Linked DNA regions of Callithrix jacchus. The protein of the gene in region 1 purifies or fractionates together with the protein of each later gene. This does not show direct contact. Links are inferred from orthologs where the notes say so. Each region holds a gene or a part of one and is shown in the gene's direction. Other genes may lie near its edges.

Region 1 (3,755 bases):
GGATATTTTTAGTAGATTCTGGATGAGACAGAACCATCATTCTCAGACAACCATCATTCTGACAACCATCATTCTCAGAATATGTCTGGCATCACTTCAAGTCTGGATTTCAAACATAACAGGGATGAATGAGGAGCAGCACCACTAGACTGACGGCTAGGCCCACTTTGCCATCTTGGTATACTTAATCTTTGTCCCACTTCCTAGCATAATAAGAATTTTCAAATAAATAACTTTGTATTAAAAAAGCAGTATTTAGAACCAGTAACTTCTATAATATAGAAAACTGAGTCAACTAGTAATCATTCTTTAAGTCGGCCTTCTGAATCAATAAGAAAATGTTTCCCGATAGTCTCGATGATATTTTGCACCATGGGTAGGGTTGTAATTTAAAGTTAAATGACTATATACGTTATTTTTTATTTTTACCGAGGGACCTGAGATGGGGCTAATTGAAAACATCTGGAGCTTAAAGACCCGTGCAGTTTACGCAGCGAGGATATAGCTCTGAATTCCAATAAATCAACATTTCACTATATATCGGCAATCAAAACTCAAAGCCTTTTTAAAAAATGATGAATACAGACGGAATCAAAATCAATGTAGTCCCAAAGCGTCCATTAACATTCGTGCGTTCCAAGGAAAATTACTGCTTCTTGGCTTCTATCCATTTGCAAAAGTTTGATTCTTTTAGGCATTCTTCACACCTGTTAGGTTAGAATCAGCTTTCTTTTTAAGAAAAAGAGAACGAAACACTAGAAGCGATATGAGAATAGAATTGGCTATTCCAGAGACATCTGCAAATGACACTCCCATTTTTTTCCTCGCGCTGCAAAATGTACCGGTAAACCGGACTTTCCGGGACTCGCTGGGTGGCCGACATTTTCCCTAGCAGGAATTTTATGTTTCCGAGAGCTGAATGGATGTTAACGTCAGGCTAGACGCCAGGCAGGTCTTCATTGTCAAATTAAACAGCGGTGGGAGCAAGCGGAATAACCGAATTCCCCTCCCGCACCCGAGCGCCGGCAGCCAGCAGAGAACCGGGACCCCTCGCCCGCGGGAAGCCCCGGTCGCCCAGCAAGCAGCGCCTCCGGCTCCAGCTGGGCTCCTCTGGCCCGCCTCTGCGTCAGGGACGCGGAAACCCCGTAGGAGCTGGGCGGGCGGGGAGCGCGGTGTTTGAGAAACGCTGCAGCGATATTCTTCCGCCGCGAGGCAAAGAGTCCCAACCCAACCCTGGGCCCTAGGATTTCCAGCGACCCTGGAGTATCTAGAAATTGCCACATTTGTATTTTCCTACCGACTTGCTTAGGATTTTATCCGAAGTAATGACCCCAGGATCACAATTTTGTGGCTGGCCGCAGAACGGTGAGAAAATTCCTCCGCGAGAAACGGGTTCCGGCCACGAGCCTATAAAAAACGGGTGGCGCGGTGGTGCTGTCTTTTCAGTCGAGAGCTGAGTGGGTTTATCGGATCATGTCTGGTGGCTCCGCGGATTATAACAGGTATGGCGCTCTGTTGGCGGTCGCGGTCTGTAGTGAAGGTCATAGGGCGCCAGGGGAGGTGATAGTGGATGGCACGGAAACAAGAAACTAAAAATTCATGGACGCTTCCTTGGGGTACAGCACCCCTGTGCCCTTCGAGAAGCTTCCATGATGGGTAGGGCCCGGATTGTGGGGAGACAGGACGAGGGTGCGGAAACAGTGGCCAAGGGGCGTTTTTCCTCCCTAAGACATGAGGAAATTTCAGCTGCTTCCTCTCCCAGTGTAGAGGACGGCAAACAAGCAGCAAAAAGTCTTGGCGCAGACCGTGTTCGGTACAGTGTAACTAGGACCTGAACCTTGTGGTCAACCGCACGACTTGAGGGTCCTAGGCTTTAGTTGGCGAAGGGTTGGAGGCAGCGGTCTGCATTCGGCCACCGCGCGGAGGCGACGGGACCGGACCGGCACTGGTGCCGGCGAACCGTTGGCATCGCCCTCGCCAGGCCGCTCCGCCCGCGTCAATCACCCGGCTTGCGCATTGTTGGGGGCGGAGCTCAGGGCGCGGAGCTCTCGCGAGACGCTCCGCCGCCGAAACGGGAGCGCCGTGCGCTCGGGCCTGGGGGGCTGCCTACACGGGCGGCTGCAGCCCCCAACCTTTAGAGAGGCGCACAGTGTGATACTCGCCGTGCAGCGGCTGCTTTAGGTCGGGCACGGAAGGGTAACGTGCAGAGACGGGTTGCAAAGGGCTATCCCTTTAATATGCAGTTAGGAGGCTTGGAAGGGATGTTGTCTGACTGCAGTGTTATTGTCAGCAGAGAACATGGCGGCCCAGAGGGAATGGACCCCGATGGTGTCATCGAGGTAAGAAACGGTTTTGGATCTTGAAGCTTTGAAAAGGTGAGTGTGTTCATCTCATTTATGCCTGCATTATTTTTTTCTAATTTACAGAGCAACTGGAATGAGATTGTTGATAACTTTGATGATATGAATTTAAAGGAGTCTCTTCTTCGGGGCATCTATGCTTACGGTTTTGAGAAGCCTTCCGCTATTCAGCAGAGAGCTATTATTCCCTGTATTAAAGGTAAAAGAAACTTCGATATTTTTAGGAAATGAATTTTTGTTCTACATAGATCTGAACCATGAAAGGGAAAGTAACCTCTGGGGGACTAGCACCTGTTTGTATTCCTTAAAGTGAAATGATGGCAATCATCTTTCGGGACTGACCTGAAATGAAGAGAATACTCATTGCTGATCACTTGATTATTTGGGCATAATTCATGTTCCAAATGGAATACATGGTGTGAAGTAGAAGTGACAATTTGATGTGGGATCGGTAAATATGTATCCTACTTTTTTTAGGGTATGATGTGATTGCTCAAGCTCAGTCAGGTACTGGCAAGACAGCCACATTTGCTATTTCCATCCTGCAACAGTTGGAGATTGAGTTCAAGGAGACCCAAGCACTAGTATTGGCCCCCACCAGAGAACTGGCTCAACAGGTATTGATAGTGTAGTTCAAAAAAACTGCTTGCGTGTTGCATAGGTTTCAGGTTTCACAACTGTGAAGAATTTAAAACTTAGTATAAATTGGTCCTACCAGATCCCTCCATTTAATTGTCCATGCATGCAGGGAGTTTTTGTTGAAAGTTTTAAAAGAACTGGGTATGCAGGTACGGTTTGTAGGGTTGTACATGAATAGCTTGAGAATCGGAAGCTCTCTGGATATACTAGATCTGTCCCCATTTTTTAAGTTTGAATGCAGTTGTGCAACATGAAAACTGCAGTGACATGTTACCATTTGACTGTCTCCGTAGTTTGTGATGCATCTGTTGCATGCTATGTTTTCAAAGCTCACTGCTATATTGGCTTTGAAGTAAACCTTCCTAATAAAGCTGTAGGCTTTATTGAGGTCAAGATTATGTAGGGCACAATACTCTCTGGGGAAGAAAAAAATCAACATTTGCCCTAGCTGTAATTACAGAACATATATTTCACTATGGATTCCTTCGTTCACACAGTGAAGAATAATGTAGGAAATGTTATTCTTGAATTGTCTAGCTGATGTGTGGGGCAACAGCATCCCAAGTCTGACAAGGCACAAGAAAGACATAAAGGGAATTTTACATTGAAGCAGTTAGGTCAGTGTGCATTTTAAGCTTGGAAGTAGATTTGTGCTGTGCATGCATAAAAGCTGTTGGCAGACCAGATTATATTTGCCATTATGCTTTAAAAATTAGTCATTGACCCTGGAATTCTGCAGGATAATAATTAAGCCTT
Region 2 (2,892 bases), on another chromosome or scaffold:
CACTTTGGGAAGCCAAGGCAGATGGATCACCTGAAGTCGGGAGTTCGAGACCAGCCTGGCCAACATGGTGAAACCTCATCTCTACTAAACATATAAAATTAAGCTGGGCACAGTGGCTCACGCCTATAGTCCCAGCTACTGGGGAGGCTGAGGCAGAAGAATCACTAGAACCTAGGAGGCAGAGGTTGCAGTGAGCCAAGATCATACCATTGTACTTAAGCCTGGGCAAAAAGAGCAAAACTCCATCTCAAAAAAAAAGAAAAGGTTAATATGGCTTATGATAAACCTAATATTGATTTACATTTATTGTTTATTCTACTGCCTCCCCCCATTAATATAAATGATCAGAGAGCTGACTATAATAACTAATAAGATAATAACTTATTATTTTGATAACTATAATTCTCGGTTTTACTATGAGAGTAAAACCGAGAATTAAAATAACACAGATAGTTTGGACATTTAAAATGATAAATAACAGGCATAGTTTCACTGGATAAATCCTTTACCCATGTTTTCCATGTGAATGATCACCTCTTCATTTTTAAAACAACATTACAAGGAAGAAAAAGCATATCCTGCCTTTCCACCTGCCCCCCTCCGAATTTGTAAAAAGAATACAGTAAACTTTCAATGCAGAAAATAGTAAAAAGAAAGTAAAAATCTATTCATATTGAAATTTTGTAGTGTTTAGGTTGGGATAAACATCGTATGAAACAGCTTCACAAGTATCAGAAAATAGTTCAAATAGGGCCAGGCACAGTGGCTCATGCCTGTAATCTCAGCACTTGGGGAGGCCAGAGCAGGCGGATCACCTGAGTCAGGAGTTTGAGACCAGCCTGGCCACCATGGTGAAACCCTGTCTCTACTAAAAATATAAAAATTAGCTTAGCATGGTGGCGGGCACCTGTAATCCCAGGTACTTGGGAGGCCAAGGCAGGGAAATTGCTTAAATCCAGGAGGTGGAGGTTGCAGTGAGCCAAGATTGTACCACTGCACTCCAGCCAGGGGACAGAGAAAGATGGTCTCTCAAAAAAAAAAAAAAAAAAGTTAAAATTGAACAAAATAATAGGAATAAAAAATAATTTAGACTGCTTCAGTCTTTTTTCCCTCTTATTTAAACAAGTTGTTGGGCTGTTTCTACTATCAAGAGCAAGTATGATGAATTGCCATTATTGCTTTTTTCTGGAGGAATTAATGTGCATTTATTCAGTCATTCATTATTTTGAAATGATGAGATAGCACTGAGGTACTTTTCCTCATAACTACAGTGTCCCAAAGCTTATAGTTTATTTTCACACTCCTTGCAGATTTGTTGCGGATGTTTTTTGATTGCCTATATGATGAGGAGGTGATCTCTGAGGATGCCTTCTACAAATGGGAGAGCAGTAAGGACCCTGCAGAGCAGAATGGGAAGGGAGTGGCCCTGAAATCTGTCACCGCATTCTTCACGTGGCTGCGGGAAGCGGAAGAGGAGTCTGAAGATAACTAAAACTTCAAATACACAAAACGAAACAAAAGAAACAATTTAAGTATTTTTTTAAAAAGTTTCACGTCTTCGCCAATCACAGTGCAGCAAGGCCAATTCTCGCAGAAACCCCCACATGTGCACGAGTGGGAGAGGGAAAAGAGAAAAAAAGGTGATCATGGAGGAAAAAGGTACTGGAAAAAGTAAACTTCAAACCTTAGGGCGGGAGCACTAAAACCAAAATACATGTATTATTTATAGAAAATATTTTCTGTTTTAATCTTTTCTTTTTAAACAAGGACTCATACTTAAAAAAATGTTTAGCAAAAAAAAAAATGTTGAGAACTTTTAATTTATTTTAAGGACTGCAAATGCCAGTGTAATTTTTTAATTTGCAGTTTCTGTAAACAACTTGTATAATAGAAAAGCAGAGAAATAAATTCCCCTCCCCTTCAGATGCACCTCATGTTTGTTTTAAGGTATAGCATTTAGTTCAGATTTGAGAAAGTTTGGGGTGAACAAGGTAAGAAAGATTTATTTTTGGCATCAAATCTTTCTGCCTGCCTCTCAGCTTGCTTCAGAAAATTAAAAAATCACAATAGTAATCAAAACATACATAACATTGAAACAGAAGGAAATGCTGTGGACCACAGAACTCCAAGAATTGTTTTGAAAAAAAAAAGTGCTACCCTGGTCAAAGTACTCTTAATAATTTTGAAATCTTTAGAGCAACTTTAAGGCTTGTAAATACATAGAACAAATATTTAAAAAAACAAAAAGAAATTGACTCAATACTATTTCTTTTCACTTTGAAAATATAAAGAACAAAATAAAGACAAACATTGCAAGTTTAAAAGAAAGTAAAGTGATTTCTCCTTTGGACAGCTGCTGCATATGTGCCCATTCCTGGTGGTGCTCTCTGGCTATTTATTGTCTAATTCAAATCACTCCTGAGGGGAGAGAGATAAAACGAGAGAGAGTGTGTGTGTGCGCGTGTGCACTTGTGTGTTCATGCACATATATGTATGTATATGTCTCTACTCGCTGAAAAGGCAAGCTACTTTGTGGGTAAGGAGGGCACTTATGCTTGGGTGGGAATGCCCCTCTGGGAGTCCAGTAAAATTTATTTCCAACACTAACTAGAAATGCATTCAGGACAGCAAATCTCAGGGCAGTCATTTAGATAACCAAGTTTTCCACTATATGTATCCCGACTTAGGACACTAATTCACTTTGAGACTGTCACTACCGCTGATTTTAAAATCTTCCATCAATTCCCTGCAATGATTAAGAAACCCAAAGATGTCTGCTAAAGAATGAATAAAACCAAAAGCTATGTTACGCTTTTACAAAAGTGGGGGTGGGATTTAAAATCAAACCAATACTATGTATGAAAATCACATTGTCTGCCAACTCCAACCTCA
Region 3 (3,755 bases), on another chromosome or scaffold:
TTGTGACCTTTCTATTACCAATTTCTAGTGTAATTCTACCAGGATTAACCTTCAACACCTCTAAATTTGTGGACTGTCTCTGTGACCTAGGATGTGGTCTATTTTGATAAATATTTCATATATACTTAAAATGAATGGATATTAACTTTCCATTTTGTGGTGTTGAGAATTTGTAACATATAACTATTTCTTCTCCCAGACTGAAATATAACACCAGATCCCAACGATAAAAACAACAAAACACTTCAAGGCAGGATATGCCGTTTATTGATTTAACTATTTGCCAGTTCTGTGTATATCTTGATTGAATTAATAAGCATTTAAAAAATAAGGGATAGGAAAGAAGTCATTAGGAAGTAGAAAAGAATGTTTTAAATTGCTTATCTAAAAAGGCTCTTACAGTTGGCACATATTCTTTTAAAGACTTGAGATGTGTATTTCAGAATAATGTGTCATAAATCAGCGTGATTTTTAGAAAATGTTCTGTATCAACCTTCAACAATACCTAAAATAACTTCTTTGATACTTATGTAAATATCTACATGAAACTAATAGCAAAAGGCTACTATTTCTGGTAATTCTGGAAAAAGTTTCCATATCTTAATTAATTTCTGTATAATCTAAGTGTTTATACAGGTAGCTATCTAAAATTACGTAAAACAAGCTATGCAATATTGGCTCACCGCTAACAGAATAGTGTCGGGTAAACCACTTCTCAATTTTCTAATATGCACAATGCGAGCTAGTACAGCACTTCATTGCAAAATCAGAAATGAAAGCGTTTTTACGAAAGACACGCTACAAAAATAATGCGAACTGTAACGCTATTATGACCGTTCGCCTAATGGTGAATGATTAAACATTTAAAAACTTTACTTTCATCTTAGATCACTCCATTGGAGAGAGGCAGAAAATGTACGGTAGGCACGCACAAAGGCTACCACCTGGAAAGACGATAAAACTAGAAGAGAGGAGGGAGGCGGGGCCCAATTTTGGCTTCTCCTTCCAGCTCCGCCCGTCGAACGCTAGTCTGCCAGTGACGTCACGCGAGACTTGTACTTCCGCTTCCGGTAACTCATGTTTCTCTTTCTTCCTGTCTGCCTAGAAAGATGGCGTCCCGCAAGGAAGGTACCGGCTCTTCTGCCACCTCTTCCAGTTCCACCGCCGGCGCAGCAGGGAAAGGCAAAGGCAAAGGCGGCTCTGGAGATTCAGCCGTGAAGCAAGTGCAGATAGATGGCCTTGTGAGTGCTGTTTGGTATTCTCTGGCCCACGTGGGGAGCGCAGTTCCCAGCCCCGTCCCGCCCCGCCAGCCGTACTTTCCAGCATTCTGCCCCCGGACTTGGTGTGGCTGGGCCAAAGTTTTTCCCTAGTACCTTTCTCTTTCATCTTCACTTTTTTTCAGAAGACGCGACAACCTTCTCTTATCTTCTATCGGGACAGTTGTGGCTTCAGGAAGGGGGACTGAGAATAGGGTGTGAGTGACAAGTTCCTGGGGTCTTGTTTTGAGTTGCCTGGAGTGGGGATTAGGAGAAAGACTCCTGGAGACAAGCAGCTAACGAAGGTGTCGAGAAGGATTTAGGGACTTAGCAGGGCTCTGGGAAGGAAAGAGTAAGGAAACTCCACTGCTTCCCTGCTGGGATCTGACATCTATAACTTCCCAAATGGAGATGTACTTTGTAGCCACTCTCTTGAGCCTGTACTTCGGCGCTTTAAATGAAACCGCATAATTAGAATGGACTCTTTTGTAGTGTTTATTCAGAAAAACATAAAGTAATATCAAAGAGAAGGACCTAAAATGTATTTAGTAGTTAAGGTTCGTGAACTAGGACATCTAAGGAAATTCTTGATAAGGGAATGGACTTAGCTGGGAAAAGGATAACCTAGAATGAGAAATTTTATTTCTGTTGTTTCGAAGCAAAATACATTTGTATGACATTCTCGTTTTAAAAACATCTTTCCTGCCTCTCTTTTTAAAAAGCATCTTCTCTCTCTTTGATTTTTTTAAAGGTTATTTCCCATTAATGCAGATCTTAGATACTTGCAATAAGGAAGTATTTTAAAATTCATGTGAATATTTTAATTGCACCGTGCTATTTTTAAGTGGAAACTATTCATAATTTAAATCCAGCATATAATTGAATCTGTTGAACTGACTTAGTTAAACTGGATACAAAAGTGTAGCCTAGTGGTTAGGAGCTCATTTAGTCTTCTAGGGTCTTCCACTTAACCAGCTCTGTGACCTTGGGCAAGTTAACCTTTCCAAGCTTTGCTTTTCTCATCTGTCAAGTGGGAATGAGAAGGGTTTATGTCATAGAGTTGTTTGGGTTAAATAAAAAATTTATGTGGTGACCTCTAGCACAGAGTAATCAATGTTACGATTATTAAGAGTTTAACGTCTATGGTTAGCAGAGCTTGAAAGATGCAGGTGAGAGATTAACTTTGGAATGTTTTGCTCTAAGTGTCACTTGTGTAATACGTTGAAAATGCAGTACTATCTGGTCTGTGTACTGGCACTCTGGCTTTCCCTGGCTCATGGGAAGCAGATGTTTGTTCAGGAACAAATGATGTGTCTTTAGAGATTACAAATCTCTAAAGCTGGTGGGTGGACTTAGATTACACTTGTTAAAATAAGTACCACTTACACACTTGGGAAATGTTTATTCCTTAGGAGCACATTTCTTATTAAATTTGTTATGTCACAACAGCACTCTTTGAGTCACTTAGTTTTCAGAGTTGAAAAAGGCAAAAGGTCGGTGGCATTAAATCTATTTGGAGGTCATTTATTCAGTAAATATTTTAGGACATTCTTCTAAGTGCCAAATATTGTCTAACAGGGCAGTGATAAAAGCACATCAGTAACAATTTCCTGGCAACTTTAAGAGGGATTGTTAAAAAGAGACCTGCAGGTGGAGATGGACTGGATCACTTCAAGTTTCACAAGTAGACAGTGGGCTTAGGAAGGTCAAGAGAGTGGTTCTCAATTTCGTGGATTCACAAATTACTGTTTTTTTTATCAGCTCTCTCACAATTGATTAATGCCAAGGAACCCGTTAATCCTGCTCACAGGGGATTGGTTTGTACATGTGAATGTTGATTTACTCATTTACTGTGGAAGATAAACCTTTACAGTGGTGAAAATGCTTATATGTACCACCAAAAGGACCATTTCTGATTACCGAAGCACCTTTGAAATCGGCTAAAAAATCAAGTGACTGGGTGCAGTGGCTCATGCCTGTAATCCCAGCATTTTGGGAGGCCGAGGTGGGCGGATCACGAGATCAAGAGATTGAGACCATTCTGGCCAACATGTTGAAACCCTGTCTCTACTAAAAATACAAAAATTAACTAGGTGTGGTGGCACATGCCTGTAGTCCCAGCTAATTGGGAGGCTGAGGCAGGAGAATTTCTTGAACCCAGGAGGCGGAGGTTGCAGTGAGCCAAGATTGCACCATTGCTCAAAAACAAAAAAAAGATCAAAAGCTTATCAGTGACTCCAAAGTCAATCATGATAAGAGCAGGTAAAGGATTATTTTACTTGAGAATTATTTATATGCAGATTCTTGATGAACTTAGTGAAAGATCTCTTATTGCAGAGTTGCAGTAGTGGGTAACTCTGCTTTTTTTCTCCACCGGTTAGGTAGATATTAGCAAAATAAATTCCTAACAACTTTTCCTCTCTTTGGACATCTGCCTTTCTGTCATTTATATAATTTTAGGCAGCTAGATTATGATGCAGTTGCAGGGTTCCTTTATCT

What was found.
Region 2: the proteins of EIF4A2 (region 1) and EIF4G3 purify together in Homo sapiens (affinity purification with mass spectrometry; 3 studies listed by BioGRID and IntAct, with this or other methods). This does not show direct contact. The link is inferred for Callithrix jacchus from reciprocal best matches to the Homo sapiens genes EIF4A2 and EIF4G3.
Region 3: the proteins of EIF4A2 (region 1) and EIF3H purify together in Homo sapiens (affinity purification with mass spectrometry; 3 studies listed by BioGRID and IntAct, with this or other methods). This does not show direct contact. The link is inferred for Callithrix jacchus from reciprocal best matches to the Homo sapiens genes EIF4A2 and EIF3H.

The regions. Positions count from the first base shown.
Region 1 is NC_133516.1:15,750,980-15,754,734, forward strand, and holds the start of EIF4A2 (eukaryotic initiation factor 4A-II), read left to right. Parts: upstream 1-1,438; 5' UTR 1,439-1,473; coding exon 1,474-1,502; intron 1,503-2,290; coding exon 2,291-2,339; intron 2,340-2,426; coding exon 2,427-2,559; intron 2,560-2,667; exon of another isoform or gene 2,668-2,736; intron 2,737-2,837; coding exon 2,838-2,977; intron 2,978-3,755. UniProt on the Homo sapiens protein: ATP-dependent RNA helicase which is a subunit of the eIF4F complex involved in cap recognition and is required for mRNA binding to ribosome.
Region 2 is NC_133508.1:57,649,374-57,652,265, reverse strand, and holds the end of EIF4G3 (eukaryotic translation initiation factor 4 gamma 3), read left to right. Parts: intron 1-1,310; coding exon 1,311-1,492; 3' UTR 1,493-2,328; downstream 2,329-2,892. UniProt on the Homo sapiens protein: Component of the protein complex eIF4F, which is involved in the recognition of the mRNA cap, ATP-dependent unwinding of 5'-terminal secondary structure and recruitment of mRNA to the ribosome. Functional homolog of EIF4G1.
Region 3 is NC_133517.1:80,682,238-80,685,992, forward strand, and holds the start of EIF3H (eukaryotic translation initiation factor 3 subunit H), read left to right. Parts: upstream 1-1,083; 5' UTR 1,084-1,109; coding exon 1,110-1,241; intron 1,242-3,755.